2 linked regions of the Notamacropus eugenii genome follow. The protein of the gene in region 1 purifies or fractionates together with the protein of each later gene. This does not show direct contact. Links are inferred from orthologs where the notes say so. Each region holds a gene or a part of one and is shown on either strand. Other genes may lie near its edges. The genes, in order: SCAP and SREBF1.

Evidence for each region.
Region 2: the proteins of SCAP (region 1) and SREBF1 purify together in Homo sapiens (affinity purification with western blotting; 4 studies listed by BioGRID and IntAct, with this or other methods). This does not show direct contact. The link is inferred for Notamacropus eugenii from reciprocal best matches to the Homo sapiens genes SCAP and SREBF1.

What each region holds. Positions count from the first base shown.
Region 1 is NC_092872.1:12,531,488-12,547,441, reverse strand, and holds the start of SCAP (sterol regulatory element-binding protein cleavage-activating protein), read left to right. Parts: upstream 1-8,086; 5' UTR 8,087-8,229; intron 8,230-9,016; exon of another isoform or gene 9,017-9,034; intron 9,035-15,954. UniProt on the Homo sapiens protein: Escort protein required for cholesterol as well as lipid homeostasis.
Region 2 is NC_092874.1:335,018,639-335,035,188, reverse strand, and holds the start of SREBF1 (sterol regulatory element-binding protein 1), read left to right. Parts: upstream 1-9,097; 5' UTR 9,098-9,422; coding exon 9,423-9,519; intron 9,520-16,550.

The sequences.
Region 1 (15,954 bases):
AGCACTGGGTAGGACCCTTAGATTTTAGTGAATCCAACTCAATTCAATAAGCACTTACTAAGCATCTTCTGAGTCCAAAGTATCGTGCTTGGTTCTGGGGATACAAATACACACACAAAAGACCCATTCCTGAGCTCCAAGACCTCCCATTCATCGTCTAGGAGAATATAACACGTAAGTACATGATAATCTGGGGAAGGAGAGAGCACTGACCTTTGGAGGGATCAGTTTCATAAGACAAGGAGCATCTGGGTTAAGCCTTGAAGCAAGGCAAGGATTCTGAGGGGTGGAGTTTCAGGCATGTGTGACGGCTGCTTGTGTGAAGGGAAATGTGTGAAGGGAAAAACAACTAAAAAAACAACAGATGAACCTCTAAAAAACTCTGTGGCGGCTGAAGTTTGAGTCCCCCAAACAGCCAGTGGTGTGGTTTGGTTAAAATGTAGACCAGGGGCAGGGAACCTGTTCTCAAGGCCACACGTAGACCATACAGGGAACACGACGAAGTGAGGCTGGAAAGGCAGGCAGGAGACAAGAGTGTGGAATGGCACGCCAAGGCATCTGTTTTGTGCTGGGAGCAAGGAGCTACAGAAGTCTGTTAAGGAAGGAGGGTCATGGTAAGATCTTTATCCTAGGAGAATTTTGGCAGCTGCGGAGAGAGTAGGGAAATGACAGGTGACCAGTCTGGAGGCTATTACAGACATGCAGGTAGAAAGCTATTGGGGTCAGAACAAAACGTAGCTACTGGAGTAGAAATAAAGGGACAGATGAGAGCAATATTGTGGAGGAACTATTTTGGGAAGAGTTAGTAACTAATTAGATTATGGTGAGCAGGTGAGGCAAGGGTCAAGGATGGCTCTGAGGCTGGGAATCTGGGAGGATGGTCACATTCACTTATATCGCTTAGTGCCTCAGTTTTCTCACCTGTGAAATGTGTGGATTAAATTTGGTGGTCTCTAGGTGGCACAGTGGATAGAGTCCTGGGCCTGGAGTCAGGAAGATCTTCCTGGGTTCAATTCTGGCCTCAGACACTTAGTTTCTTCATCTGTAAAATGAGCTGGAGAAGGAATGGTGACTCACTCCAACATCTTTGCCAGGAAAACCCCCCAATGGGGCCATGAAGAGTCAGACATGACTGAAATGACTGATCAATAACAAGGTCCCTTCCAGCTCTGCTCATTTATGATCCTCCCTCCCCTTCTCTCTATACATGTACATTTATACATACAGGAGGAGGGAGGAGAAGGAAGGGGAAACAGACTTGTTGCTATGGAAAGAAGGGCTCAGTTTGAATCCCAGCTTTGCCACAAACTATAGGTTACCCCTTCTGGCCCTCAGTTTCCTCCTCTGTAACTGCTTTGGAACTTCTCCATCATGTCCCAGGGTCAATCCTGGGAAATCTTGTCATCTTGCAGGATCAAGTCGGCCTTGGTCCTCACATCTCATCAGTATGCTCTTCCCCTCACATGATGAGCTCCAAAGTCTCGGTTTAAGGAGGCATCTCCCAATTTCCCACTGGCTGCACTGCTTCTGGACTTCTCCAGAATGCTTTCCTCCCTTCCCCTTTCCTTCTTCCCTACCTTTTCTGTGTTGTCATTCCTATTGGACTGGAAGCTCCTGGAGGACAGGGACCATCTTCCTTTTATTTATATCTGTAGCCTTAGCACTTAGCGCAGTGCTTGGCACATAATAAATGTATACGGACATACATTTGTGTGTGCCTACGTACATACACAGACACAGACTTGTTTCAGTGCTTAGAAAAGGTTGTGTCTAGTCATTGCTTCTACCTTCTCCGCAGTCACACCCTCTTCAACCCTTTCTCTATCATCTACCTCATCACTCATCTGAAATGGCTTTCCTCAGAATTTCCAGTCATCTCTTACTTGCCAAATGTCTTTTCTCAGCCCTCCCCACTTTTTCTTCCCCAATGGTCTCTCCTCTTTGGGTTTTCAGGACACTGCTCTCTCAATCTTCCTTCTGTCTGTCAGACTGCTCCACCTCAGACTTTTTTGCTGATTCATCATCCACAACCACACCCAACTGTGGCTATGTCTTGAATTTTCTTGTCTGTCTGTTTCACCCTCCCTCCCTCTCTTCATCATCTCCCAGAGATTTAATTGTCATTCTTTATGTAGGCGAATCACAGATCTTGACTGATCGATCATTTGATCGATCTATCTACCAATCTCCAGTCCTACTCTCTTTCCCGAGTTCCAGTACTGCATCACCTCTTGCCTTTGGGACATTTCTAACTGAATGTCCCAGGGACATCTCAAACTAGACAAGCCCCAAACAGAATTCAACATCTTCTCTCCAAAACTTACCCCTGTTTCTGGTGAGGCACCATCATTCTTCCAGTCTCTAAGTCTCCTATAACCTCCTAGTCCTCTTTGACTGTTTATTCTCCCTCACAACCAAATATCCAAATCCATCACCGAGTACAACCATTTCTACCTACACCACCTCTCTTCATTTGACCTCTTCTCTTCATACATACATCCACCATTCTAGTTCAGGCTGGCCTCCATTCTATCTCCACTTGGACCCATTCTCCACAGAGCAGCTCTGACTGTGTGATCTTCCTACTCAATAAATTCCCTACTGTCCCCAGATAAAATATTAACTCTTCTGGCTTTTAAAGGTGGTCACAAGCTGTTCCTAATTTGTCTTTCCAGCATCATTCTGCATCACTCTCCTCCTCACACTGGAGAGCCTTTTTCCTCATACACACCTACTTCATCTTCCCTCTTCGTGCCTTTGCACTGGCTGACCTCTTGGGCTTGCTCCCTCACCTCTGATTCACAGAATCCCTCATTTCCTTCAAGATGCAGTTCAAGGAGGGGCAGCTAAGTGACACAAAGATACAGCACTGGCCCTGGAGTGAGGAGGACCTGGTTCAAATCTGACCTCAGACACTTATTAGCTCTGTGTGACTCTGAGGAAGTCACTTATCCCCAATTGCCTCAAAAAAAGAAAAAAAAAAGATATAATTCAAGTACTACCTTCTCTACGAAGCCCAACTGCTACTACCCTTATTCACTTCCTCCATTGTGCTCAACTGCCTTTTATTGATAAGAGAGTATCATATCGAGAGTAGGGATTGTTTCAGTCTTTGTGTTTCTATCTTCAGCACCTACCACAGTGCCTGGCACATAGGAACTGCTCAAAAATGCTTGTTGATTGATTTTGTAAATGGTTCAGTGATCTTATCAATAGGGAAAATCCCTCCACTAATGCAAATTGCAACACATCTGGCCTTCTTTTCTTGTGTGACTCTTGTTCATACTCTCCAGCGAATTCTCCACAGTGAATACACCGAGTGTTCTGGGACCCTTTCTCTAGGTCTTAATATTATTTGAGTCCCACTAAAACCTGTGACCTTTCCCTTTTGAACTTGTAAGAATCTTATCTTTTTTCTCTCTGAATCCCATGACTCAACCATACATTTGTTGACTTTTTCATATTTAGCTATTTCCCTGGGTTTCTGGACTATCCACCTGTTACCCTTTCCTCTAAATACACCTTTTTTTCTGGTCTATCTCTGTGAGGATCTCTCCTACACTGCCTCCTAAGCATGACTCTTTATTGGTTACACATAGCAGCAGCTGCATACAAGCCCAATGTCTTTCTTCTTGGGTGACCTTTAATTTTTAGTCTTTGGAAATCATGATAGGTCATGATTTGTAATCTTTACTAAAGAATACTGGTGTTAAAAAGATGAGTTTGTTTTATGGAAAAACTTCTAGTTGTTTAAAACACTGCACAATCTTCCAAATACAATCTAGTCCACTCTCTTCCTCCAGTTTAATTATGGACCCGGTTCATTTTCCATCTGCCATATTTGTGAAAGTACCTACAAAACATCCTGCTTCTGTGTCCTATCTGTTGCTGGGAAAGACTGTCCATTCTTTATGTAATCCCTCCCTGAATCTCCCTTTTGTGGTTTTCAAGTAGAAACTGCTCCTGCCTGTCCTAGGCATGGGTTCCTTTGTACTTTGTACTGGGGTTCCTCAACACTAGTGTCTGATTTTCCTCCTAATAAAATGTTTGTGTCTTCAGCTCAGCTTGGACTCCTCTGTACTTTGAGGGGGGGCTTTGCCTGGCTGACATATCTGTCCAAGAAATGGACCTACTCTAAGGGCTGTCCTTCCAATTTCTATTGTAATTTAGATAATATACTATCATCCACTTGGTTTTTCCCGAGTAAATTGTTAGTCCATGTTCTTTTGGGTGATTATGAGTTTCACTGGAGAACTTCTGCAGTCTTTCAGGCCCTGATGTAATCAGTGTAATTACTTGCATAAACAAGAGTTCCCTTACAGGAAAATTCCTCTTCAATTTGGACTCCGTACTGGATACCCCCTGCTGTGATGGACAGCCGGCATCCCCATGTGGCTCAGTGACAGCAGGGAAAAAGAAAGACACATAGGCAGGCAGGAGAGGACAGGACAACTCCATTTATTGATAGGAGGGTCAGGGTATTCAGAGACAGAAACTGCAAGTCTACGACAATTTACTCCTCTCCTGTCCTGTCCTAGTAATTTGGCCAGTCTTATTGTCTTAAAGAATGTTAGCTTAAAGGGCATCTATTTTACATATCCCTTGTATTCTGTAGTATTTTGTAGTTCTCTTGTTTATCTCTTGGAGATAGCAACTGGGGGTGGGGGGGTGGGGGGAAGCGGCCCTGGAGAGTCATTCTGGATGGTCATGAGCACAGTCTCAAAGAACAGGTTTCCCGAAGTTCTATCCTGACCTTGCCAACAGCACTCCATCCTAGCCCTCAACACCCTGTGCTACTGGTTAAAAAAAACAAAAAAACAAAACAAAACAAGACAAAACTTTGGACAAGAAAACATTTTCCTGCTTATTTCACATGATTTTAAAAATCAGAGGACTGTTGAACAGTTCTTTCCCCTGTGGTGTCGCTTCAGGGCCACATATGATCCTGACATCTTTGTACGCTTAGTCTAGCTCAGCATTTTTTCTCTCTTTCTTTTCTTTAGAGATCCTGTCTCACATTATTCAGTGAGTCTAAATGTTGTAGCTCCACTGTTTTTGTTGGAGGAAAGGGTTTGTTATAGAAAAACTGTCTGACCTTTAGCAGCTTTCATCGGTCTTACTTGATATTTCATCCTCTACGCTTGTAGGATTAATTAACAAACATGTCTGCTCCTTCATCCATGTCTCACATGATGAAGGGACCTTGCTCCTTCCTTACCAAGGCTAACCAGTTCAAGTGATCCCATTCCATTCCATCTCCTCCAACAGACTGCCCCCTCTGTCATCCTCACTCTTGCACTTATTTTCAACCTTTCCTTCTCTCCTGGCTCATTTCCCACTGCCCATACACATGCTCATGTTTCCCACTGAGCCTGAAAAAAACCTCCCTTGACTTTTCCATCCCTTCCATCATCCTCTTCTGCCCTTAAATGCCTCAAGCCTACAGTAGGTGCCTTCACTTTCTCTCCTCACACTCTTCTTAACCCCTTACAATCTGGCCATTCTGCAGAAGCTACTCTCTCCAAAAATGATCTCTTAGTTGCCAACTCCAGTGGCCCTTTCTCAGTCCTCATTCTCCTTGACCTCTCTGCAGCCTTTGACACTGTTGATCCCCCTCTCCTCCTTGGTTTTCAGGCCGTCACTCTCTCCTGGTTCTCCTACCTGTTTGACTGATCCTCCTCTGGGTTACACCCTCTAATAGGAGATGTCCCTCAAGGTTCTGTCCTGGACTCCCTTCTCTTCTCCCTCTATGCTACTTCACTTGGTGATCTCCTCAGCTCCCATGGATTTCACTGCCATTTCTATGCTGATGCTTCCCAAATCTGCGTTTCTTGACTGAATCTCTCTCCTAATCTCCACCTGCCTTTCAGACATCTAGAACCAGATGTCCAGTAGACATCTTAAATTTACTATGTCCAAAACAGAACTCCTTATCCTTCCCCCCAATACCTGCCCTTAGAGGGCAACACCATCCTCCCTTGGGCTCACAACCCAAGAGTCATCCTAGGGTCCTTTCTCTTAGCCCCCATGTTCAAGCTGTTGCCAAAACCTGTAGATTTCACCTTTGCAACATCTCTCCAATATGCCTCCTTCTCTTCTCTGATACTGAGACGGACCCTGTTGTAGGCCATGAGGCCTGGACTGTTGTAGTAGCCTGTTGGGTGTGTGTCTACCTGCCTCAAGACTCTCCCCACTCCATCTATTCTCCATTCAGTCATGAAAGTGATTTTTCCTATAACACAGGTCCAAACAGTGCTCCCCTCCTTCCCCCATGGCTCTCTATTGTCTGCAGGAGCAAATACAAAATGCTTTGTTTGGCATTCAGAGCCCTTTATAACCCAGCTCTCGTTTCCCTTCCCAGTCTTTTTATACTGCACTCCCTAACACAACAACCAACAACAACTCTTCAGTCCAGTGACACTGGCCTCCTGGAACAAGACCTTTCATCCTTGGCTCTGGGCACCCCCTCTAATAGTCCCCTGGGCCTGGAACGCTCCTCTTCCTCTACTCTGACTACAGACCTCTCTGACTTCCTTGAAGTCCCAACTAAAATCCCATCTCTTGTAGGAAGCCTTCTCCAGCTTCTCTTAATTCTAATTCCTTCCCTCATCCTGCATATAATCTGCTTTGTATGCATTGGTTTGCATGTCGTCTCCCCCACTAGATGGTAAGCTTCCTGAGGGCAGATATCAGAGAGTGGTGAATGGTGTGTGTGTGGGGGGGGAGAAATAATGCCTACCATATTATGAAATCATATTAAAGTTAAACTAATTAAAATAAGGACCCTTGAGAGAGTGCTTCCTCTGTGCCAGGCACTGCGCTAAGGGTTTTCGGACGATGATCTCATCAGACCCTCTTAATAATCAGCCCGGAAGAGGCCTATGCGGGTGCAAATACAGTCTATGCACCGCACCATACCAAGAAGCAGGTGGGTGCGTGGAGCTTCCCTGCAGGTGCGCTCTCCCCCTCGGCTCCCGCAGGTGCGCTCTCCACCCTCGGCTCCCGCAGGTGCGCTCTCCGCCTCCAATGCAGCAGGTGCGCTCTCCCCCTCGGCTCCCGCAGGTGCGCTCTCCCCCTCGGCTCCCGCAGGTGAGCTCTCCGCCTCCAATGCAGCAGGTGCGCTCTCCCCCTCGGCTCCCGCAGGTGAGCTCTCCGCCTCCAATGCAGCAGGTGAGCTCTCCCCCTCGGCTCCCGCAGGTGAGCTCTCCGCCTCCAATGCAGCAGGTGAGCTCTCCCCCTCGGCTCCCGCAGGTGCGCTCTCCCCCTCGGCTCCCGCAGGTGAGCTCTCCGCCTCCAATGCAGCAGGTGCGCTCTCCCCCTCGGCTCCCGCAGGTGAGCTCTCCGCCTCCAATGCAGCAGGTGCGCTCTCCCCCTCGGCTCCCGCAGGTGAGCTCTCCGCCTCCAATGCAGCAGGTGAGCTCTCCCCCTCGGCTCCCGCAGGTGCGCTCTCCGCCTCCAATGCAGCAGGTGAGCTCCCCGCCTCGGCTCCGCAGACCGGCCTCATCAGGTGCATCAGTCCCACGGAGCCGCCGGTCTACACTGCACACACACACTTACCTGTCAGGACACACGCACGATCCACATCGAGGGGACACACACCGATTTATCCAGAGCCCGCCTGCGCTACGCACGTTACAGACACCCGGAGCTGGGGGCTGTGAGCGTCTCCCCTCCACGCTGAGAACAACGAGGCCGCTGGGTCACTTGAGTGACTTGCCCAGGGTCACTCACCGCTCTGACCGCTGCAGGTCTTCCCCGCCCGCCCCACGTCTTAGCCGGGATTCTGGGCGGGAGCTGCAGGTACGCACCAACGCGCCAGGGGGCGCGCGCGAGCCGCCGGGACCACACTTCCAGCCCCGCCCACCTCCCAGGCCCTCCCGAAGCCCTCCGCCTCCCGACTCGTGGGCCCGCGCGTGCGCACGAGCGAGCGACCGCGGGGCCGGGGAGAGGGCGGGGCTGGGGAGAGGGCGGGGCTAGAGGCGCTGCGGAAGCGTGCGGAAGCACGTGCGTGGGCTGGGAAGCGGAGGAGAGAGGAGACTGGGGCGGGGTCGAGGGAGAGTGGGCGGGACGGGAGGAGGGGAAAGGTAGGAGGTGAGAGGTGAAGTGGGAGGAGAGCGGAGTGGAGCCTGGGAGCCGCGGTCCGAGCGGAGGGCGTCCCTCGCGTCCCTCCCTCCGCGCCCGGGGCCGAGCCCAGGCCCTCCCGCGGCCCGCGAGCCGCCGCCGCCGCAGGTAACGTGGCTGCCTCCGCCGGGCTCTAGGCCGCGCGTGGCCCCCCGCCTCCCTCCGCCCCGCGCCGCGGCCCACCTGTGGTGCCGGCCCTTCGCCCCCCACCTGCCTGCCCTCCGAGGGCCCGCCCGGGCGGCCGCGCTCCCCCGCGGCTGGCCCCGGCCGGGCTCCGGGGAGCGGGAAAGGGCGGCGGCGAGCGGCTTCCCGACTGCTCTGCGGCAGCTTCCTCCCCGCCCCCCCCGCTTCCCGGGCACCGAGGCGGGGGACGCGGCATCTTCTTGTCTCCGTGGGAATGCCGGAGCCAAACTTGAGTCGTGTGCGTGAGTGCGCACGCGCGCGTTCGGATGCGTGTTTGCGCGCGCTTCTGTGCGTGTGCACGCGCGGGGGGAGCGCTTCCCGGGCCCCCGAAGCCGCAGGGGGTCCGACGGGCCTCTTCCGGGGGGCTTCGGCCCTCTCTGCCCCCTGGTGTTCAGGCGTCTGGTCCTCTGTGGCACCCCCAGAGTGACGGGCTGGCCCTGGCCGTCATGGGGCCTCCCGCACCGCGCCCGCAGCCACCGCGGCACTCACCGAGAAGCCCTGGGCGCGGGCCCTGACCTCGCGGGGGATGCCCCCCAGAGCAGCGGGAGCCCGGCCCGCCCCCGCCCCCCCGGAGCTCCTGCCCTGTGCCCGGTCACCGGAGGAGGCTGCCCGGTGCCAGCGGCGGCAGGCCGGCGGGGGCGTGGGCATGGGCTCGGGGCTGGGCTCCTCCGAGAACATCCCGCCGAGGTTCTGTTTGTCGTTGTTGTCGCGGGGGGCGCCGTGTTCACGGGTACGTTGCGGGTCAGCGTTAGCGCAGGAAGGGGTGCGGGGCTTTAAGGTTGGACCCCTGGGGTGCAGAGGGTGAACCGAGGCCTGAGTCGCGGAGTCCGGGCCGGTCCGGCCGGGTCTCAGGACCCTCAGAACAGCCTGTCTTCTGTCACCCTTTTAATTGCGTGGGGGTTCCACGGTACTTGCACCGCGCCGCTTTGTGACTAAGTAAACGAGAAAGGAGCCTTGGTGTGGCGAGTGGGGACCCAGAGGCGCAGACTGTGGCGTGCCTGAGGTTATCGATAAGTTGTGGGGATGGGACTTGAACCACACCCGGCATGCTTGAGGCATTGATAAGCCAGGGTTTTCAGTGCTTGGTAAAGCTCTAGGTGGCCATCCCTCTGTGCTTCGTCTTTGAACAAGCGCATTTGTAGCAGTCGTTGGCGGCAGCGGGAGGTCTAGGATTGGTGCCCTGTCTACGGGGTGACCGCTGCAGCGTGCCCTTGCTGACGGGCATCGCCCGCTTGTCTGCTGCTCTGCCCCTCGGTCATGGTTGGAGCCGGGGGAGGGGCTTAGAAGGGTCAGAGGAGGAGACTGAGGTCCGGAGGGACCGCCGCGCAGGGACCAGGGACCGAGCCCTCCGGGCCTTACCGCTTCAGGGCCCTGGAGAACAGAACCCAGAACGACCCAATCCTGGTGCGCGCCTTAGTTGTTCCTTTGTCCGAGGAGGTGCTTGTGGAAGCCGCAGGTTGGTAGGACAGGAGACGGTGCCCAGAGAAGGCAAGTCAGCAGCGGGGGGACCAGGAGGCAGGGCGGCCGTCCGACCTGCCCTGCCGTGAGGACGCTTTACACGCGTGTGTTTGGGGGCTGTGGATCCTCGCTGCTCTAAACCTGGGCGTCTGTCCGTGGGCCGCTTGTCCGGCCCTGTGGCTTGTACTGTGAGTTTTCCATGTTCAGGCTCAGCAGGTAGGTAGCCCCCTGAGGACAAGGAGGGTGTTTTGTCATTTAATGCACAGGCGCATTAAGTACCTGGCCGGCACTCGTCAGGTGCGCATCAGAAAGGGAGCCAGTACTCCGTTGAGGCACGGTGCATACCTGAGAACATGCAAAAGAGAGACTAAAGAATTGCAAGACAATTTGGGGAGCGAGGATACGATGGGCTTGGGGAATTAGGAAAAGCTTCATGTAGACAGTGGCGCTTGAGCTGAGTTTTGAATGAAACGTGGGATTTAGATGTGGTGGAAGGAGTGAGAGGAGTGAGAGAACAGCGTGAAGGCCCGTTTGGCCTGGTTTTAGAATGTGGAAAGGGGAATAACGTGTAATAATGTAGTAAAGTTGGCCAGCTTGAAATGCTAAAGGAAGAGTTTTATCCTAGCAGCAATAGGGGGCCTCTGGAGTTGGAGTTTATTGAGTAAGGGAATGACCAAGTAAAAGCTGCCCTTTGGAAAAGTCTCCCTAGGCAGATCTGTGTAGCATTCATTGGAGAGGGGAGAGACTTAGAGAGACAACTAAGAGGCTGTGGGAGTGGCTGAGATGACGATGGCCTGAACAAGGGTGGTGGCCGTGTGCATAGAGAGGATTTGGGTGTGAGAGATATTGTGGAGGTAAAAATGACAAGATATGGCAGATGAATGTTTTTATTGGAAGGATGGTGGTGCCCTCTACAGGAACAGGAAAATTCTGAAGGGCTCCTAGGGGAGATAGGAAGTTCAGGTTTGGACTTGTTGACTTTGAGATGGGATTAGAACTCAAGAAAGAGACTAAGACTGAACATATAAATCTGTGAGATATCTGCATATGTCTGATAATTAAACCTTGGGAACTTAAGAGGTCACCAAATGAGAGAGCAGGGTGAGTGTAGATCCTTTGTAGACATCCACAGTTAGGGAATTGATCCAGATAATGAACCAAAGAGACTCAGAAGGGGGAGTCAGACAACCAGGAGATAACCAATGACATGAAAACTCAAAGAAAGAGAATTTATTTACTTTTTATTTTATTAAAAAAATTTTTGTGTAAAGAGGTTCCCTTCTCTTTTTATTTTTTTGTTTTAGTTTTCAACATTCACTTTTGTAAGATTTTGAGTTCCGTATTTTTCCCTTCCCCAAAAGGGCGAGTAATCTTATATGGACTATACACGTATAATCATATTAAATATATTTCCATATTAGTCAAGTTGTGAAAGAAGAATCAGAGCAAAAAGAAAAAACCAAGAGAAAGAAAAGACAAAGAAAAGAGTATGCTTTGATTTATACATTCCGATTTCATTCATAGTTCTTTGTGGAAGTGGATAACATTTTCCATCATGAGTCTTGGAATTGTCTTAGATCGTTGTTTTGCTGAGAAAGAGCTAAGTCTGTCAAAGTTGGTCATGGCACAGCATTGCTGTGTATGATATTCTCATGGTTTTGCTCATTTCACTCAGCATTAGTTCATGTAAGTCTTTGCAGGTTTTTCTGAAGTTGCCTGCTCATTATTCCTTATGGAATAATAGCATTCCGTTACATTTGTATACCACAACAGCCATTCCCCAGTTGATGGGCACCCCTCAATTTCCAATTTTTTGCCACCTCGAAAAGAGCTATTATAAATATTTTTGTATATGTGGGTACTTTTCCTTTTTTTTTTTTTTCTGATTTCTTTAGGGTACAGACCTAGCAATGATATTACCAGATCAAAGGGTATGCACAGTTTTATAGTCCTTTGGGAACAGTTTCAGATTCCTCCCCTGAATGATTGAATCAGTTCACAACTCCATCAGCAATGCATTAGTGTTCCAGTTTGAGGTACAGAGGATGATTGGTGGTTTTAAGCGCTCCAGGTGAATCAAGAAGGATGAGGATTGAGGAAAGGCCATCAGATTTGTCAAGGAAGAGAAGACTGATAACTTTGGAGATAGAAGTTTTGGTTGGGTAATGAGATAGGAAGCCAGATTGCAAAGGTTTAAAAAGTGAAATGAGAGAAGAGACAAGAAATAAAGAAAAATTTTAACAGATGTTGATAATTTACAGAACCTGAGTTAGAGGGAACCTCGGATGTCATATAGAACACAACCGATGAATGAATGAGAAGCTTCTTTAGATGAGCCTTAGGAGTAGGCATGTAGGCTGTTTTAGGACTTACAGTGGAGAATTTGCTGTTTCTCAAAGGAGGCAACCAATTTCACTTCTGTACAATTCTAATTTTTAGATGGAACATTTATTAAGAGCTTACTCTGTGCCATACATTTCCTTTTTTTCCCCCAAAATTTGTTAATTTGTTTTCAGTTTTCAACAATCACTTCCATTTCCTTTTTTGTAGAGTTAAAATCATCCTTTGCAACTTCCACACATTGCTTCCATTTCTGCCTGCTAGTGCCAAGTAAGCCCAATTCTTCTGCCACCTAAGTGGTCTTTTCTGCTGGTTAAGGTACGCCTAGTTCCTTAAACCCCTCATATGAGGTGCTTTCCAATTCCCCGACCATTCTGGTTGCCATTTTCCGAACCTACTGGCCTTAAAATTTGTACTTAAAAGTAGACATGATTCTTTAGATTGGGTGACTACCGGGAAGCTTGTCCTTCCCAAAGACTCCTCCTAAAAGAATTCATTTAAGTTTCTACTGATTTATGACAGGCTGATACGATAATCCATATTAATTTTCATTCTCTTCTCTGTCTTTCTAATATAAGACAGGAAACACTAATGAACAAAGAATACCAGCATGCCATGATAAGTAACAGAAGGAAGTACTGAGTACCTGCAGAAGTGGATGGAATTAAGTAATTAATTACATACATTTAAAGTTTTAAATAGCATTTTGGGGGTGTGAAGGGGAAGGGCCAAGGGAGATGATGGCATTTCTGGAGTTGCTGAGGTGAATGAAGAGAAATTTGCTAGGCTAGGAGGAAGACAGTATTAGCATTGGGTACAGCTTAAAAGGAGACTTGACCAGCATATAGGGCTCTGAAGCAAGTTAATTTGTTAGAAGTGATGAGCACAGGAAGAGGGAAGATATATAGCCTAGGATGTAGTGAGACAGGACATTTACATTTGGTGACTTTAAAATTAATCCATGGTTCAGGTCCCAGATCCCAGCCCCTCTCTTACTTCTACTGGTAAGTACATACTTCTGTGATGGAATTAAAGAACATAAACTCTCCTTTTTAAGAAAGACCTTATAACACAATTCAGACCTAAAAGTAACAAACTTGAACAAACCAGTTGCTACACAGAGTGCAGGCCAGGCGAAGCCATTGATCAACAGTTTCTCTCAGATCCTGATAGGATCTCCAGGACCTTGAACTCAAGAGCTTTGGCAACAGTAGGGTCTCCCAGGCTACTAAACTGCTTCTGTTCCAGCCCAGCCCCTACAGTCATCATTGAGGGGAGAAACCATTGTGAAGAAAGAGCTCATCTTCCTTATCCACACCAGCAACAGTTGCCAGCTAATTGCCACCAGTAGGCAGATGATCACATCACTCTCCGTGCTACTGGTCCTGCTTTCAGTCCAGCCCTCACAGCCATCATCTTAGGAAGCAGTTCCTGTGGAAAGGGGGCCAGCTATCCCTACCACCTGCCAACCAACTACTCCCATAGGGCAGGCTGGCCAGCCCAGCTGAAGCAGTAAGCAGAGTGCCCTGGGGAAGTGATAGGGGGCAGCATGTTTCAGGCAGGGCAGGCTTCCACCACCACCATTTAGACCTCCCTCTCCTCTCAGATCCTGGATGGAGACAAATCAAGACCCTGAACCCAAGAGCCTAGGGAATGGTAGTGCTTGAAGCTCCCCATTTGAACTGTTCTCCTGGGAAGCATCCCTGTGTAGGTTGCCACCTGGTAACTGCTCTTGAAGGAGCAGCAGCCACTAAAGGCCTTGGCCCTGTCAAAGGGTTCAGCCTCAGAGATGGATATGATTTGTCAGGCACCCTAAGGATAACAAGAACATTGCATCTTATTTGCAGGTGAAGCTTTCAATGTGTGTTGTCTACCCCATTAGAATGTGAGCTCTTTGGGAGCAGGGCCTGTCTTTTCTATTTGTATTTCCAGTGCATAGCACAGGGTTTTGCACATAGTAAGCATTGTATCATTATTTTATTCTGACTAGGGATTACTTCACAACTGTATACCATGACTGGACAATGGATTTGGTAGAAAAGGGATATGCTGAACCTTGTGCTGATTCAGTTCGATTTCTATTTGGTAGAATCCATATTTTTTAAGTTGGAGTTTAGTCTTACCATCAATATATTTTGGTTTGGTTTCTTTTTCTCTGAATCTCTATACCTTTTATAGATGTAGAGAACTTCCATTGAAAAAATTCCTAACTATAAGTCAGCAACTTTGAGACAGTTGGCTGGGCACTGACAGGTTACATTACTTGCCATGAATCACGTCCCAAGTTTGTGCTAGTGTTGGTGTGTGATCAAGTTTTTCTGACTGCAGAGGCAGCCCTCTTTCCAGTATAACATGCTGCTCCTCAAAACCTGAACTATGTAGTGATTCGAATTATTAGATTAGTGTTACATTAGTTATTAGACTAGTATTAAGACTTTAACATCCAAACTCTTGGATTTTTTTCCTTTTCAGGAATTTAGGATGCTTGATCAAGTAATATGGAAAGGTCCATATGACATTATGGTCCTTAAATCATACTGATAATGAGTCAAATTTTTTAAGTAAGAGAAGTTTTACAGCCATGATCCTTCACTCAAGACTGTATTTTCTCTGGATTATAGTGATGGCAGGTGTCTGAGATTTCTGGAAAACTAAGGAGACTGTAAGCTGCTAATTGAATATTTTAAATGGCAAAGAAAAGTTTTTAAAATTAGATTTTCCAGTAATTGTTTTATTTTAAAAGAATGGGTACAGTACTTTATGAGTATAGTTATTTTACTCAGCACATGCATGAGTAAGTACTAAATGCATTTTTTAAAATACAAATTTATTGATCCCCTGTCAGCCAATTTGCTAGAAAGAACCTGAGTTTTGGTTCTGGCTTTTCCACTTGTGCCTTGACTCCTGTCCTTTTCAAAGATAAATGAGATCCATTCTGAGAAGCATTTTGGAGCTCTTTAGGAAAATATATTTAATTTCAGTAGAGTATTTGTCATACTGTCACAAGAGACTCTGGCATATTAGTGACTTTTCTGTTCCATTAATTTTATTTTACTTCTAAAACATTACTTAAAAAATTTTTTTTTTTTAAATCTGGGTTCCACATTCTCTCCCTCTCTCCCTTCCCCTATCCACTGAGAGAAAGCAAACAATATGAAATCAATTCTGTATGTTAAATCATACAAAACATTTACATATTATCCAGATCATTAAAAAAATAAAGCAAGAAAGTTATGCTTCAGTTTGCGCATAGAGTTCTTCAGTTCTTTCTCTCTGGAGATAAGCATTTCTTCATCATGAGTCCTTTGGAATTGTATTGGACCACTATATTGATCAGAGTAGCCAAGTCTTTCATGGTTCATCATCATTACAACATTGCTGTTACTTTGCTCAGTGATCTCTCAGTTCTTCTCACTTCACTTTTCATCAGTTCGTATAGGTCTTGACGTGTTCCTTCTGAAACCATCCTGCTTTTCATTTCTTACTGCACAAGAGTTCTCCATCACAATCAATATATATATGAATTTTTTCAGTCATTCCCCAATTGAACATCCCCTTGATTTTTTATTCTTTGCCAGCACAAAAAGAGCTGCTATATTTTTCTGTACATGTAGATCTTTTTCTTTGACCTCTTTGGAGCACAGACCTAGTAGTAGCATTGCTGGATACAAAGGTTATGCACAGTTTTATAGTCATTTGGACATAGTTCCAAATTGTTCTCCTGAGTGGTTGGATCAGTTCACTACTCTGCCAACAGTTCATTGATGTAGCTGTTTTTCCTCATCCCCTCCAGCATTTATCATTTCTAATAGGGGTAAAGTTGGTACCTTAGAGTTGTTTTAATTTGCCTTT
Region 2 (16,550 bases), on another chromosome or scaffold:
CATAACTGCCCCTTACTGGGATGAGCTATCATTGGAGAGAAATTTGGAGTTGAGGGCCTAAAATAAGGTGGTAACCATGTGAGTACAGTGAAGAAGACATATCATCAGAGGTGTTGTGGAGATAGAAAATCAATCTTGGATATGTTGGGGTGACAGTGAGGAGATGAGGATGACAATATGAGTTTGAACCTGAGAGACATGGTACCATCTAGAGAAACAGCGAAGTTTGGATGTGTCCAATAATAGTATACCTTATCAAATTCTTTTTTTTCTTTCTTTCTTTGTTTAACTTTTAACATTCATTTTCACAAAATTTTGGGTTCCAAATTTTCTCCCCTTTTGTCCCCTCCCCCCACCCCAAAACACCGAGCCTTCTAATTGCCCCTATCTGCCAATCTGCCCTCTCTTCTATTAAAATTCTTTACTCAGATCTAAGGAACTTATTATGTCTGACAGTATTCCCCTGGTCTGCCAGTTTTAGTAGCCCCATCAGAGAAAGAAATGAATGGCCAAAGCAAGTTGGCCCTTTGTATTCACCGCTGCCTTTTCTATATGTTTTTCCTTTGACTATTTCTACAATGACTTATTCTAGAATTTCCCCAGGAATCTGTCACGTTCATTGACCTATAGATTTTAGACCCATTTCTTCCCTCTTTTTGAAAATCAGGACACATACCTTTCTCCATCCCTGGAGGTCCCGATCCCCAGTTTTCCAAGTACTGCTGACAATACCTTGGCAGGTGTTTTTTCCCCCCAGGCCCCAGGTCACACCGTTCATCTGGGCCCGGTGACTGGCAGCTCCTGCAACTTATGTAACATTCTGGGATTCTGCGGTGGGGAAGTGGATACAATACAGGCTTAAAGGTTACAATCTTGCCTCAGACACTCATCTAGCTACCGGAGGCTGGGCAAGTTACTTAACCCGTCTGCCTCGGTTTCCTTATCTGCAAAATGGGGATAAAAAGAGCACTGGGAACAAGGGAGTTATGCGCAGCGATGGAGACGCTGGCGCACCACATAAACGCAAGCTATTATTAGGAATGACGGCTGTTAGGATTCTCTGGGGAAATGATCCAGGCGAGGCCCGATAAGCCTCCCCGGGATGGGGGTGGGGCGGGGAGAGGGGCCAGCCCCTCCCAGGCCAGGTGCACTGCGGCCCCCAAGCCGGGCCACGCGTCGGACCGGGACAAGCCTGCCCTCTCTAGGGCGCGGGGGGCATGTGACCCAATGGCCGGCTTCCCGGGAGGATTACATGAGGTCACCGCCGCGCCGGGAGCCGTGATGCCGAATCACTCCACTGCGGCCCCGCACGCCTATTGGCTGCTCCTCCCTGGTTCTACGGGCGGGGATCCTCCCCCTCCCCCTCCTCCGGCGCTCGGGAACCAAACTTTGCCAGGAAAAAAAAGGTCTAGCCTCGAGCCCGCCCATTGGCTGGTGCGGCCGTAGCCCCGCCCCGCCCACACGAGGTTCGGCTTAGCCTGGCTCCGGGCGTCCCGGAAGGCTCTGGCTGGCAGTAGGTGTGGGAGGCTTCCTAGAAACCTCTATCTCCTCCTCCCTGCCCCCAGCTTCAGGACGTGGGACTCTGTAATTACCTCAGTAAACTCTCCACTCTCCCCCATGCGGGGAAGGAGTTGAACTCTCTCCTCACCCCAGATTTTGGAATCCCTGGCTTACCGCAGTGACCCACAGGGGCACCCCCTTCTGTATGGAACCTTTCCCGATGCTCCCGGCTGGGGCTGGATCTCCCCGAAGCCACCTTGAATTCATTAAGTCCCACCTAAAACCCCGCCTTCTATAGGAAGCCGTCCCCCGACCCCTTTCCATTTCCAGCCACCTCCCTCTTTTAATTGTCCTATCTGTCCTGTACATAGCTTGCTCCGGATGCTGTGTGGTCTCGGCCGTTAGATTGAGAGGGGAATGTTCTTCTTGCCTCTTTTGGTGTATAGCACCGTGCTTGGCTCAGAATAGGCGCTTAATAAATATATCGATATATTCTATATGTATGCTTCTATACGTACATGCTGTCTGCCTGGGTTAGAATCCCTAAACGAAGGTCCCCGGTATCCATAACACCACGTCATGCACAGGGTAGGCACTTAGTAAGTGCTGGGTTATTGAAAGCCCTCCCCATTTCCAAAGCACTCTTACGTCTCATTTGTCCCCCAAATCTCCATTACGCTCACTTTACAGATATGGAAACAAGCCCAGAGAGGAAAGTGACCAAGGTCAAACAGCACCCTGTGGTCCTCAACCTCTAGTTCGAATATCTTTTATGCTATGGGCGCTCTCTACGGGCCCCTGCCTCTTCTAGCTCACTCCCGGCTTGGAGGGAATAGGTACTTACTGACTGAGTCCTGCGTGGGAGCAGGGCTATATGGCAGTGTCCTTGGAACACCAAACATGTCCTTGGTTGCCCACAGCTAAGAAAGGTTGGGCACTTCTTACTTCAGTGTTTCCCTTCCCCACTCCTAGATGCTAGGGCCTCCTCTCCTCCCCTCCCTTCTTCTCTGCTCTCCTCTCTTTTCCTTCTCTCCTTCTCCTTTCTCTCTTCTCCACCCTTCTCTCCTCTCCTGTCCTCCTTTCTCCTCTTCTCCTCCCTTCTTCTTAGCTCTCCTCTCTTATTCTCTCCTCCCCTCCTTCCTTTTCCTCTTCTCTCTCTCCTTCTTTCTCTCTTCTCCTGTCCTCTAGTCTCTTCTGTTCGGGCTGCCAGTTAACCAGCCCTAGACCCTTGTACTTTGGATGTTTCCCAGATTTTAGGGGACATAATAGGGTGGGGTGGGGCTCTTAAGGGCTTCACCCTCACAAATATTTGATCAGACGATGGGAAGTAGGAAATTGCATCAGCCCTGATCTGGGCTGGGATGTATCTCTCTGAAGGATTTCAAAGTCTCTGCAAATCAGAGTATGTTCCATTGCCATCCCAGGGAGGTGAGAAAGCTGCTAAAAGACCTAAAGCCCGAGAACAAGAATACCCTTGGAGAAATTTAAATGGAGAAACGTCCTCTTCTGTTACTTTTCCTCCCTTTCAGTTGGAGAGGGAGGGAGGGAAAGGGAGAGTGAAGACCCTACACACCTCCTCATGCTCCACCCTGGTGCCAGGCATCCCTAGATTATTCCTATCTGAAAAAGGTCTGATGTAGTACAGGCTCAGTCTTGCTCCTCCTTCAAGGGTGTCTGCCTGTTGATCAGTGGGGGGAGGGGGGTGAAATAGATATTTAGTTGGTGAAGAGGTCCTTCCCAGCACTCCTCAAATAACACCTGTGTGTAAGGTGTCTCGGCTTAAAATGGGTGGTCTTCAAACAGAATTACATACTTCCACCATACTTCCCTACTCTGTGGCTGTCTCTAAGCAGAGTTATAGAGAGGGATGCTTCTTAGATCTTAAAATCTTCCTACCTTTTTCTTCTCCAAAGATACTCCTTGCTCATCCTGTCTCCCTCAACACTGCACATGCAGTCATCAGCTGTTTAAAAGTATAACACTATGTTGTTCAGTTGCTTCAGTCATGTCTGATTCTTTGTGACCCCATTTGGGGTTTTCTTGACAGAGCTACTGAAGTGATTGGCCAGTTCCTTCTCCAGCTCATTTTACAGATGAGGAAGCTAAGGCAAAAAGGTTTAAGTGACTTGCCCAGGGTCACACAACTAGTAAATATTTGAACTTGGGACTTCAGGCCAGTGCTCTATCCACTGGCCATCTAACTGCCCATATTTTAAAGTATAACACTTCCTGTAGAAGGAGGGACTTGAGAAAGTTAGTTCATATGTGGAACTTCAAAATTACAATCACATTATTTGATTAGCTTGGCACGGATTTAAAGCATTAAATCTCTTCCAAATTCTTCCTGCTGTCACCGCCCTTACAATAAGAAGACTTTACCTTCTGCTCCAACCACTGTCCTTTCTTGCCTCTTCAGCCTACTGTCTCTCGAAGGGCCGTGCTGTTTCCTCTCAGATCTTCACAACTCTGGAGTAGCAGGGTCCATCGGTCAATCAATAAGCATTTATTAAGAGCCTACTATGTGCCAAGTCCTGTGCTAGACATCGGGGATTCAATGACAAAGCAAAACAGTCCTTTCAAGACCACTGCCTTTACCTTAGTTAGAAATAGCTATTTTCATAGTTATCTGAACTCTGACTTGACTGGTATCTCCAGGATTCCATAAAGAAATTCTCTGACTAGCACCCTGAAGATGGGCCTTCCATCTTAATTGGCAAACCCTGGTGGCTATTGTTATTTCACTTTTCTAAACCTCCCATGGTCACTCATGAGCCTGCTGGACTGGATGTTAGCTAAGATTCCTTTCAGAACTAAGATTCTACTCAAAATCCAAGTTTGCTTCACAACTAAACACCATCTGGGTGAAATGACTGGTTTAATGTTATAAATTTATTCTGTTATCATCATTACCATATCCATATGGTTTTCTACTCTGATTCTGAGGGAGGTAATAGTTTGCTATAGTTGGTCAGATGGGATTACTGTCGTAGCCCTTTTGAATTGGCAGCCAAGTCAGAATCTGTTAGGAATTTGGCTCTAACATCAACAACAGAAATAAGTGAATACATGCTAACAGTAAACCTAGGGATATGAACCAGCATTGGGGGCATTTAATTGTCTTTTGGGAGGTAAAAGGGTGACGATATATTGTCTGCTTTAGTTTTTTTCTGTAATGAACACTAAAAAAAATTTTCGTATCCAAAGTAGAACAGGAAAAGAATACCTGTAAGAACATGAATCTATTACACACACACACTAAATTCAGCATGTTATTTTCAAAGCTGTCCTGCTTACCTCTTGTTTCTTTCTGAACTGCCTTTTAGGTACTTCTTTGCATTTAAAAAAAAATGCTTCAATGAACCTCTTTCCTTTCCTTTTTTTTTTTAGGAATAATATTACCAGATCCCTTTTTTCCTACCTAAATCTCCCCTCTCAAAAAAAAAAAAAAAAGGAAAACATAATCCTTGTAACAAATAAGCATGTGACTACATATTTTCAAAAATATGTTCCACATTCCCTTGTCTGAAAGGCTACATAACCTGTTTTTTCAATAAGCTTGAGAGAGGCAATTTGTCTTTAAGAACAAGCACAGGTTCTGCTCATTTCACTTTGTATCAATTCATGTAAATCTTCCCAGATTTTCTGAAAGCATCTTGCTCTTCATTTTTTTTTTCTTTTTTGCAAGGCAATCAGGGTTAAGTGACTTGTTCAGGGTCACACTGCTAGTAAGTATCCAGTGTCTGAGGTCAAATTTGAACTCAGGTCTTCCCGACTCCAGGGAAAGTGCTCTAACCACTGTACTACCTAGCTGCCCTTCATCATTTCTTATAGCACAATAGTATTCCATCACAAAGACAGCTACCTGGCAAAATGGATACAACCATGGACCTGGAATCAGGAAGACCTGAATTCAAATCTGACCTTATACACTTAATAGCTGGGTGACTGGGGGCAAGTTCATTTAATGTTGTTTGCCCCAGTTTCCTCAGCTGTAAAATAAGTTGGAAAAGGAAATGGCAAACCACTCTGGTATCTTTGTTAAGAAAACCCCATATAAGGTCATGGAGAGTTGGACAAAGATGAAAAGACTGAATAACCACAAATTCTATCACAATCATATACCACAACTTGTTCAGTCATTCCCCAACTGTGAATGACAGCTATTCTCAGGAATACAATGGTCCCAAACAATTCTGAAGGCCTTATGATGTAAAATACTACCTGCCTCCAGGTAAGGATGGTGTATGAATGCAGATAGAAACATACTTTTTTTGGCTTTCTTTGTTATTCTTGTTTTTTTGATCTGTGTATCTTTGTTTTGCAAGACTACACATTTATAATCTATATCAAATCACAATTTGAAACTCAAAATTAAAAAAAATGTTGAAAATTTTTACTTAGATATAATTGAGAAAAAAATAAATTTAAATTAAATTTAAAATTCAAATAATTTTTTAAAAAGATAAGCACAGGGACTGAAATGTGAATGTCAGTAGACCTAGCTTCTATACTGACTTCCTGAAACTTTCCATGCTTTGGTTCCCTTGTCAAATAAATGGAAATAATATTCAATATCTCTCGCAGAAGGTTGCAGTGAGGACAAGGGACATGTTGGATGAAGGTGCTTTGAAACAATAAATGTTACGTATTACTGTATAGGAATCTGTGAACCAGATGGGAGCTCGGGCTGCCATTGATATATACCTCCTTTCTTTGGCCCAACAGGGATGAAAAATGCAATGTGTACTTATAACTGCTTGTCAGATGAAAACCAGATTATGTATAATGCCTTTCAACTCCTTCAGATCTACCCTTTCCCCAGACTGGGAGTGACGTGAGAAGAGCCCACCCATTTCAAGCTTTTCAATTAAATCACTCAAGATTTTTTTCCTACAGGGTTGAAGCCATCCAGACAAATGCTTCAGGACTTTTGGCCCACTAACTATTGATTATTAGCCCCGCTCTGGGTCCTGAAAGAAGGGAGGCTAGAACTTGTTTACATTTACCACAATCCAAATATCAACTAAGTATTTACTAGGTGACTGTATTCAGTACATCCTAGACTGATAGAAATGAAATGGTGACAAAAATGAAATAAAAGATAAAATCTGTCCCTCAAGAAACTTGCCAATTAGTTAAGAAGACATGCCCAGTAAAATGATACCTTATTAATACTTGAAAAGATCTATGATTTCTTTTGCATGAAACACAGACTCCACTAAGCCAGAGGCAGATGTTGGAATCCCTCTACACCTTTCATTAGATTTTGTGAGGAAAGAAACCTTCACTTGGTGGCCAGTCTTCTGTTGTGGACCCTCTCCAGATTTAACTAGGCTGGTCTTCCGGAGGCAGGCACGCAGTCTTTGGATCCCCCATCAACAAGGCCTACTTTGATAGTAGCTTGTCTGTTCCTCTGTGGTACCTAGAACCCAGAATCACTGACACACCAGGATGAGGCATTAAAATGAGACTTTACTGTAAGAATAAAACAATAAAAAGGTGAAGATGAACACAAGTGCAAAGTTTTATCCAAATCTGATAAAAAATCAAATGTTAACCTGTATCATAGAAGGAACCAATGCCAATCATTAAACATTTATGCCATGTGCCAGGAATTGTGCTAATCTATGGGAATACAAAAAAGCAGTAAAAGATAATCTCTGACCTCAAAGAACTTGCAGAATAATGTGGGAGGCAATATACAAACAAATATCTACAAAACCAGCTTTATCCAGGATAAGCAGGAAATAATTAACAGAAAGAAGGCACTAGAATTAAAAGGCAGTGGAGAGGGCTTCCAGTAAAACATAGGATTTTAGTTGGGACGTAAAGAAAGTCAAGGAGGTTAGTAGGTGGAATGGAGGAGGGAGAGGGTTCTAGGGCCTGGGCATCAACTATAGACGCAGCTGAGATAAAGATTTCACCCACTCCTTATTTTTTTTCTTTTTCTGAGACTATGTCTCCCTATCTGTCACCTAGGCTTCTGACCTGCAGGGAACCCTGGCCCAACCTTCTGCTGGACCCTCTTTAGGCAGCCTGATGCCACCCACCCTTCCTCTGGATTTAACCATATATGTTAGACACATTTTCTAATAGGCCTTAGACTCTACAGCAGCTCAGAACTCCCAAACCCAACTGATCCTTCAGTCGCAGCCTTCCCAGTGGTAGAGGATAGAGGCATGAACCTCCAAACCTGATCAACTTAGTTTTACAGATTAAGCACCTGAGGCCTGGAGTGAAGTGACTTGCCTAAAGTCAGACTGGTAGCAATTCTATTTCAAGCCCAGGCTCTGGGACTCCAATTCCTCTAAGACCAGAACCTAGTCATCCACCCCACCTCTTCTCCTGGCCTCCCCATCTGTGGTCACTTCCCTCCCTGGGTCTCACTTTACTCATGGAGAGGTTGGATTAGAGCAGGTTTTTTTTTTTGGTTTTTTGGCATTCTTAAAATTACTGAGGACCCCAAAGAACTTTTGTTTATGTGATTTATATCTTTTGATAGTTGCTGTACCAGAAATTAAAACTGAGAAAATCTAAATGTTTATTAATTAAAATAACAGGCCTATTACATGTTAACACAAATCACATTTGTTTTATGAAAAATAACTATATTTTTGAAAACAAAAATATTCCGTGAGAAGACTGGCATTATTTTACATATTTTTGCATATCTCTTTAAATTCTGGTTTAAATAGAAGACAGCTGGATTCTGATCTCCGCCTTGGCATGAATGAAGCATGTTGGTTTGTTCTTCACATATGAAGAAAATCTGGCCTCACACAGATAAGTAGCTGGAAAAGGCAAGTACATTGTAATAGACAAATAACTATGATTATGAAAATGGCTTTGAACTGGGGACTCCCAGGTAACTGTCTTCAGACCACACTTTGATAACCACTGGATCAGACCCCAAGTTAAAAGTAGGAACTGGCAGTGAAGGTGGGGCAGGAATATGGACAGAGTCTTGATCTGCCAGTCTGGATGGCATCAGCTCGGTTCCTTTCAACCAGGCTCCAGGTGACCTGCTCCACCTGGATTGGTATGGGGAAAGCTGGCTGATCTGGTCCCTGATTCAAAAGAGAATTTTTACGTCTGAGGACAGGCTAAGCGTCCAGGGAAGCTGCAAATACAGGGCGGTCACAGTCAGCCTGGCATCTCCATAAATTCGGGGACCGAGGGGTCTGTGCGCCAGGGCTTCCCTGAGGGGGAGGGTGCCAACCAGGCGAGCTGTCCCCCCGCGTCGGGGGCCCCCTCAAATCCTCCAGCAGACTTCGGCCTCGAACCCTGCGGAGTGGCTCCGCACTTGGCAGAGCTAGGTGCGCCCTATACCTGGTCGCTGCCCAGAGAGCCCCTCACCCCACGCTCCCCCCAGGTCCAGCCTCCCGGCTCCACGTGGTCCCCAGCAGCGGACTGGCGCTGCCCAGGCCTTAGGTAGCCCCGTTCCTCGGCTCCTTCCTCCGCTTCGGAGCGTCCCTAGAGGCTCCGAGTTCGGGATGGGGCTGTCACTCAAAAACTGAAGGGCGGGGGGGGGGGGGGGGGGGGGGGGGGCAGGATGGGGTGGGGTGGAAACACCCGGCGCCGATGCCCCGCCCCGCGCCCTCTCCCTCCCCTCCCCCTCCACGGGGCAGTTAAGCTACCAACTTTTAGCGGGTATGGCGCCGGGGGCGGGCGGGTGGCGACCCTGGCACTAACTTTGTTTCAGGAACTGGGCGAGGCCACCAGCCGCCGGCGGGCCTGGGCAGAGTTCGGGGCGTGCACGGTTAGTCCTCCGGAAAGCGCGCGGTCCATGGAGCAGAGCTAAGGGGAGGCTCAGGCAAAGGCGCGGTGCGTGGAGAGGAACGCCACCAGCCCGGAGGAGGCGTCTGGGGCCGGCGGGCGGGACGCGGCGGCGGCGGAGCTCCGGGCTCCCTCCGGCCGCCACCATGAACGACCTGTCCTTCGACGAGGCGGCCTTGGATCCCTCCCTGGCCCTGGGCGAGGCCAGCGACATCGACTCGGCTCTGCTCAGTGACATCGAAGGTGGGTCCCGGGGAGGGGCGCGTGGGAGCCCGGCCGGGAGGGTGGGGGGGGCGGTGATCGGGGCAGCCCTCCGGGATCCTCAGCCTGGCTGGGCTGGCCCCGGGCGTCGAGGGGGAGTGTGTATGCGTGCTTCCGCGCGTGTCTGCGGCTCGGGATTCCGCGTGTGGCTGTGGCGTGTGTCTGAATGTGTTCGTGCCTGTCCGCGGGCACCGAGTCCCAGGATGCGCGCACAGTTGGGGACTCGCCGTCTGGAGGCACCCGGGGAGACCCAGACCCTCCCCCCTCCCCGCCGCGGACCCCTTCCCCAGCAGCTGTCCGGCCCGGGGGGACTCGGTCCTCCCCCTAGAAGCGGCCACGCCTCTTCGGGCCGCGGAGGAGCGAGGGGCTCCCAAATGGTGCGGCCCCCAAGCCCCGCCCCCCCGAGGGCCCAGGAGCTCGTGACGTCAGCGTCAGCCAGAGAGGTTACCCCCGGTCATTCCCTCGGCCCGCCAGAGTTCACTGAGCTCTGCTGGAGCCTGCAGTGGGAGGGGAGGTGGGGGGGAAGGGGGAAGCGGGGGGAGAGGAGGGGGAGAAGGGAGCAGGAGACGGCCCTGCCCTCCGGCGCCCAACAACTCTGCCCTTAGGAAACCACCCAGAAAATATCCCAGAATCTAGCCTGGGGTTTTCTTAGCAAAAGCTAACCCGGGTGCTCTGACCCATCCACGTGGAGCTTCTGATAAGCCTGTGACTGGGAGAAGGAATTGGCCTTGAATTATCCGTTCATGCAGCCCTTTTAAGCTTTGTAAAGCACATTACTTAAACCTTCTTGTTTAAGTGTGTACAACCTGTAGTCGGTTGGTACTACAGGTATTGTGCTAATGGAGAAACTGAGGCCAGTGAGTCACGGTAGTGAGTGTAACAAGTGCGATTCTCAAACTCAGTTCTCCTAACTCCAAGTGCAGGGCTCTTTCTTACTCTGTATCAAAATGCTTGTTTTACAAGGTAGACCGCCTTCTGTGGGCAGTAGGAAATCCATCTTTCTATCAGTCCCTTTTATAGAGAAATCTTGCTCTGAAGGGGGGATATTTACCCCTAGAATCTTTCCTGACAGAAAACTGTACTTTTTCCTTCTCAGGGCCAGAATTATTTTTCATAAATTGAGGGATTGAGGCACTGATTAGTGAAGTAGGAATGGGGTAGATTAGAGTATATTAGTGAGAGATCGCTTTCTTTTCCAGAAGATTCATTCATTCAACAATAAACTTTTTATGTAAGGTCTACTGTTAGATAATAGTGTGTACAGAGCATTCTGCTGATGGGAGTGGGGGCTGCAGGGAAGGGACAGAGAGAGACAGAAAGTTTAGATGAACATTGATAGCTAGCTGCTAGGTCTGGAGTCAGGAGGACCTGAGTTCAAATGTGAACTCAGACAGTTATTAGCTGTGCGATGCTGGGTAACCCTATTTGCCTCAGTTTCTGCAATCTGTAAAGTGGAGCTGGAGAAGGAAATGGCAAACTACTCCAGGATCTTTGCCAAGAAAAGCAATGGGATCATGAATGGTAGGACACACCTGAACTGCAAGGATAGCTAGCAGTTATATGGGCTTTAAGATTTGCAAACCTGTTTACAAATATCACCTCATTTTATCCCCACTATAATCCAGGGAGATAGGTACTATTATCATCATTTTACAAATGAGGAGACTGAGGCAAAAAGGTTTAGTGGCTTGCCCAAGGTTACCTAGATGATAAGTAAGAGACCTTTCTTGACATTGCATGGATCCCAGTGGAACAAAAAGGCTTCCCATTGATTATTCAAATAATAATATCCAATCTTACAATCTAAATAACTTTTCCTGTTCCAGTGTATACTCTGCATAGCTGCCAAATGGATATTCCCAAAACCTAGGTCTGACCATGTCACTGCTGTACTCCTGTAGAGCACCTTATCACCTCCAAGATTAAATAAAAACGTCATGTAAAGGTCTTTTCAATTTGGTACCTTCCTGCCTTTCCAGCATTCTTCACATTACTCCCCTCCACAAACTGTATTTTCCAGCTTCCTCACACATGACACTGTATCCACCACCCGGTGCCTGGAAAGCCCTCCCTCCTCCCCTTCAGTTCTTAGCATTACTGTCTTCCATTAGGTCTTGGCTCAGATCATGTCATCTCAGCCTCTAGAGCTGTTCCCTCTAATCCCTCATGGACTCTATGTAGCATGTCTTTCCACATTTATGTATGTATCATTACCCTCGTTCAAATGTAACCTCCTTAAGGACAAAGACTGTTTTTGCCTTCTCTTTGTATCTCTGGATAATATTTGTAAAGCACTTAACCACAGTGCCTGGCACATTGTAACAGGTAAATACAATCTTGTGTATTGCTGGACTGATTGATGAGGGTGAAAGAAAAGTGTAGATGAAGTACTATTAGACCTCAAAGTACAGTCAAGGTGTCACTTTCATTTGGGCATGAAGAGTTGAGTTGAACTTTAAAGAAAGAGAGGAATTAAGTGGACAGTTTGGGGTTGGAAAAAAACTCCCACCCATGCATGGAGACTACCTTGAACAAAGGAGATTGAGGTCAAGGAGGAAGGAAATCAGCATTTATTAAGTGCCCATTAACTAATTAATTAATGTGCCTAGCATTGTGCTAAGTACTTTACAAATAGCATCTGCATATAACGTAATGTATATAATATATGTTTGCATATGATATAAATAATGCTCATTTAATGCTCACTACCATCCTGGGGAGTTAGATGAGGAAGCTGGAGGCAGGTAGAGTGACTTGCCCAGGGTCACACAGCTAGTGTCTGAGGCTGGATTTGAATTTAGGAAGATGAATCTAACTGATTCCCAGCCCTGTGCTCTATCCATTGCATCCCCTAGGTGCCCTAAGAATATGATAGCACTGGTGATAGTTTGGAGAGGGGATCAACTGAAAACAGGAGTAATTGAGAGGCTGTTGCAATAATCTAGGTAAGAAGAGGTGACCACTTGGCCTGCGGTGGGTGACTGTGATATTGGAGAGGTGGAGCCAGATGGCGAGAGAAGTTTCTAGAAGGCAAAATGGATCAGACTTGTCACCTGATCTTAGGGATCTGAGCCATCAACTGGCCAACCCCCATATTTTACGAAGGAGGAAATGGAGGTCCAGAGGCCTCATGACTTTCCTGAGATCACACATTTAGTAAGTTAGCAGAGCTAAGGTTTGAACCCAGGATTCTTGACTCCAAAAATGGTACTTTTCCTGCTACTCCAAAAGGGAGGGAGAATGAAGGAAAGAGAAGAGTCCAACATGACTGCTAAGTTATGACTCCAGGTGGCAGGAAGGTGATGTCATCAGCAGAATTGGGACCAAAGCTGACTGGAGGAGAAGGATGAGTTCAGTTTGCTGAGGTCCCAGGTAACAGTGCTGGAAGGTCAGTGACAACTGGAGTTCGAAATACATTTGTATTGCTTCCTTGATTGATTGATGCGAGATTTATTTGCATAGAGTTTAAAGTTGAAACTGTGGAGTGGATTCTCTGGGGGAGAATCTGGAGAGGGAAGGACTGAGGGCCTAGTGCTGCTAACATTTAAGGAGGAGCTGGCAAAAGTTTCCTAGGAATGGTTAGGGAGGTTTGTTTGGGAAGAACTCAGCTTCTCTGGAATCCAGGTGGGAGGAGAGGATATTTAAAAGGAGGGAATGGTCTACTCTGGTCCAGGATAAGGAGGGGGAAAAATGCCTTTGGATTTATGGATAAGGAGGATGTTGAATGACCTTGGAGGGAAGAGCTTCTTCACCATGGTGGGAATGACTTCAGATTGCTAAGGGGTTTAGGTATGAGTGGGTGGAGAGAAAGGGAAAGCAGGAGAATGGATAACTCCTTTAGGTCTCAGAGGAGGGAAACAGAAAGATAGCCTGAGAGAGTGACAAGTTCCCAGGAAGGGCCCTGGGTGAACCAAATGGAGGAGAGTTGGGTGTGACATGGAAGTAGGCTACTGGAAGGACTGGTGATGGGGGTCGAACTCTTATTTCACTCACTAAATAAGATATAGATGGAGTTTTTATAACTCAGACTTTCTTAAATGTGCAGAAGACACTTGATATTTGAAGGAATCTTGGGTGAGATAGTTTGAAAGTGAGGAGAAAACAAAAAAGTGAAAAGGGGAGAAGAAAGTAAAGAGTATTGAGTTCTAGAGGTTATCTACACCAAGGTTTCTCGGTGACCTCAGGTCCCATGGGTTCCCTTATTCCCATACCCCTATGTCCAATCTCTGTACTAGTCCTACATCACCTATGGAGCATTTCCCTTTGAATAACATGGAGACATGTTCAATTCAGACTGTTCAAAGAGAACTCATTATTTTCCTAAAATTCTATTTTTCTATAAAAGGGTACCACTCTCCTTGATCTGGCCCCTGAGGCCATAAGCCTTTCATTTTAGCTTTGTCCAGTTGCCCCCGGCTGTTTCCCACCCTTGATCCTTTCAAAATATATATGCCCAAATTTGTTATCCTTAAGCTAACCTAGCCCTCCTTTGTTTCCATCCAGACCCTACCTAAACCCCTTCTCCTTTCACCCCAGACTGTTTGGCCACCCCTAGATCTCTCCCACAGTCTTTTAGTATATAGGATCCTTCTTATCTACCTGCAGGCACTCAGATTCCATCTAGCTCAGATTCAGTCTTGCTGGTTTGTCAATACAAGCATCACAAATGGTGAGGCTTCTTAAACCTCTTCTTCTACCCAGTATGGTGGATCTTTAATAAAACTTTGTTTTATTTTGGCTGAAAGAAGGCTTGGGTGGAATTCATTTGGCAGGACCTGGGGTGTTGGTATTTTGGGGTTCTGAGCATCTCTAAACCCCTAACCTCAAAACCTCCATTCTTCTAGTCCCCCAGGTTCACAAGGTTAGCATTATCCTCCATGTCTCTATCTCATTCACTCCACATATCCTATCCATTGCTACATCTTGACTTTTCTGCTTCCACAACTTGGCTCGATTAGATCCACTTCTTTATAGTCATGCAGCCAGTATCTTCTTTCAAGCTCCCATCCAGTGCTGTGCAAAAGCCAGCTCTGATGGCTGGTGAGAGCTGACTGGTACATTTTCAGTGTGAGCATTTACACTTTGGAATGCTATAAATAAGTAAATTCTATAAATATAATAAATTGAAAATTAGGGTATTCTTCCTGTTATATAAAAAATAAGTATAATAAATAATATGCATATAAATGGTATAATAATAAATATAAGTAAATGCTATAAATCAGGGCATGATTGTTTTGACGAGTGTCTTGATTGAAGAAAGTGATGGAAAAAACATTAATAATGCAGATTAAACTAAAAAATATGTCATGTGTAACATTTATCAGTATACTCCTGATTTTCTGGGCTATTGAAATGACTCCCTAATTGTGTTTCCTGGACAGAGGACCTGGGCCTGGGGTCAGGAAGACCTGAATTCAGATTTGGCTTCAGATACTTACTAGCTGTATGACTCTGGACAAGTCACTTAACCTCTCTTGCCTTCTTTAAAATAGAGATAATAATGACACTTTCCTCCCAAGGTCCTAGTGTGGATTAAATAAATCCATTTTTGTAAAGCATTTTGCAAACTTTGAAGTGGTATATAAATGCTAAATGTTACTAAAATTGTTTCTCCCTTTTTCTCTTAAGCGCAGGTCTGAACCATGTCATTCCTCTACTCAGTAAACTCCAGGGGCTTTCTGTTGCCTTGGGTATATATAATGTGGACTCCTCCTTTTGGCTTTTAAAAGCCCTTTACAGCCTGGCTCCAACTTGTCTTAACAGCCTTGTTCCACATTATTCTGTGGTCCTGCCAAACTGGCCTTCTTCCTCTTAGTCACATGACAGTCCTATCTCCTGAGCCTTTTCACTGGCCCTCCTCTGTTCTTGAAATGTCCTCCCTCTTCACCCTCTACTTGTTGGGACTCCTCTTTTTGTTCAAGATAAACCTTAAGCACCACCTTCTCAGGGAAGACTTGTCTTCCTTTAATCACCTTATATTTTATTCCTTTAAAAAAATTTTTGGGGGAGGGGTGGTGGTACACTGGATAGAGTGCCAGGCCTGGAGTCAGGAAGACTCATCTTCTACATTCAGATCTGGTCTCACATATTTACTGGATGTGTGATCCTGGGCGAGTCACTTAAACTCGTTTGCCTCATTTTCCTCATTTGTAAGAGGAGCAAGAGAAGGAAATGGTAAACCACTCCAGTATTTTTGCCAAGAAAATCCCAGATGGTGTCACAAAGAGTTGGACACAACTGAAAACGACTGAACGATAAATTGTATTCTTTGCCTATTTATGTTACACTCACATAAATGCTTGTCGATTGATTGTGTGATCTCTTGAAGGGATAACCTTAAGTAAGTCACTCTTCCTTTCTGTGTCTGTTTCATCATCTTTGCAGTGAGATGAGTAGATAAGATCTCTAATTTCCCTCTAGATCTAACATACGATGATTCTATGAATTCATTGACAAGAAGAATAATTGGATAAGACTGTTATTGCTATTCAGTCAGTTTCAGTCATATCCAACTCTTTATGACCACATTTGGGGTTTTCTTGGAAGAGATACTGGAGTGCTTTTCCCTTTCCTTCTCCAGTTCATTTTACAGATAAGGCAACTGAGGCAAATAGGGTGAAGTGACTTGCCCAGGGTCACCCGCTAGCAAGTGTGTAAGGCTGCATTTGAACTCCGGAAGATGAATCTTCCTAATTCCAGGCCTGGCACTCTCTCCACTGTGCCACCTACTTGCCCCATGAAATTATTATCACTCCCTAACTTAGATTCTTGTAAATATATATGTGGATTTTCAACTGGGTTTACAGAAAACAAGGGACAATTGCAACAGGAGTTTTAAAATAAAGGTTATTACCTGCCTGGGTACAGAACTTGTAGGATTTGAGCTAGAGAGAGACAGTGGTGACCTTGAACTATTTCCAGTGTGAGTTTGAGACACACAGCTCAACAACCACAAGAAAAAACAATTATCTCATTCATGCCTGAGTGGGTGGTAAGTGTGATGATTTGGG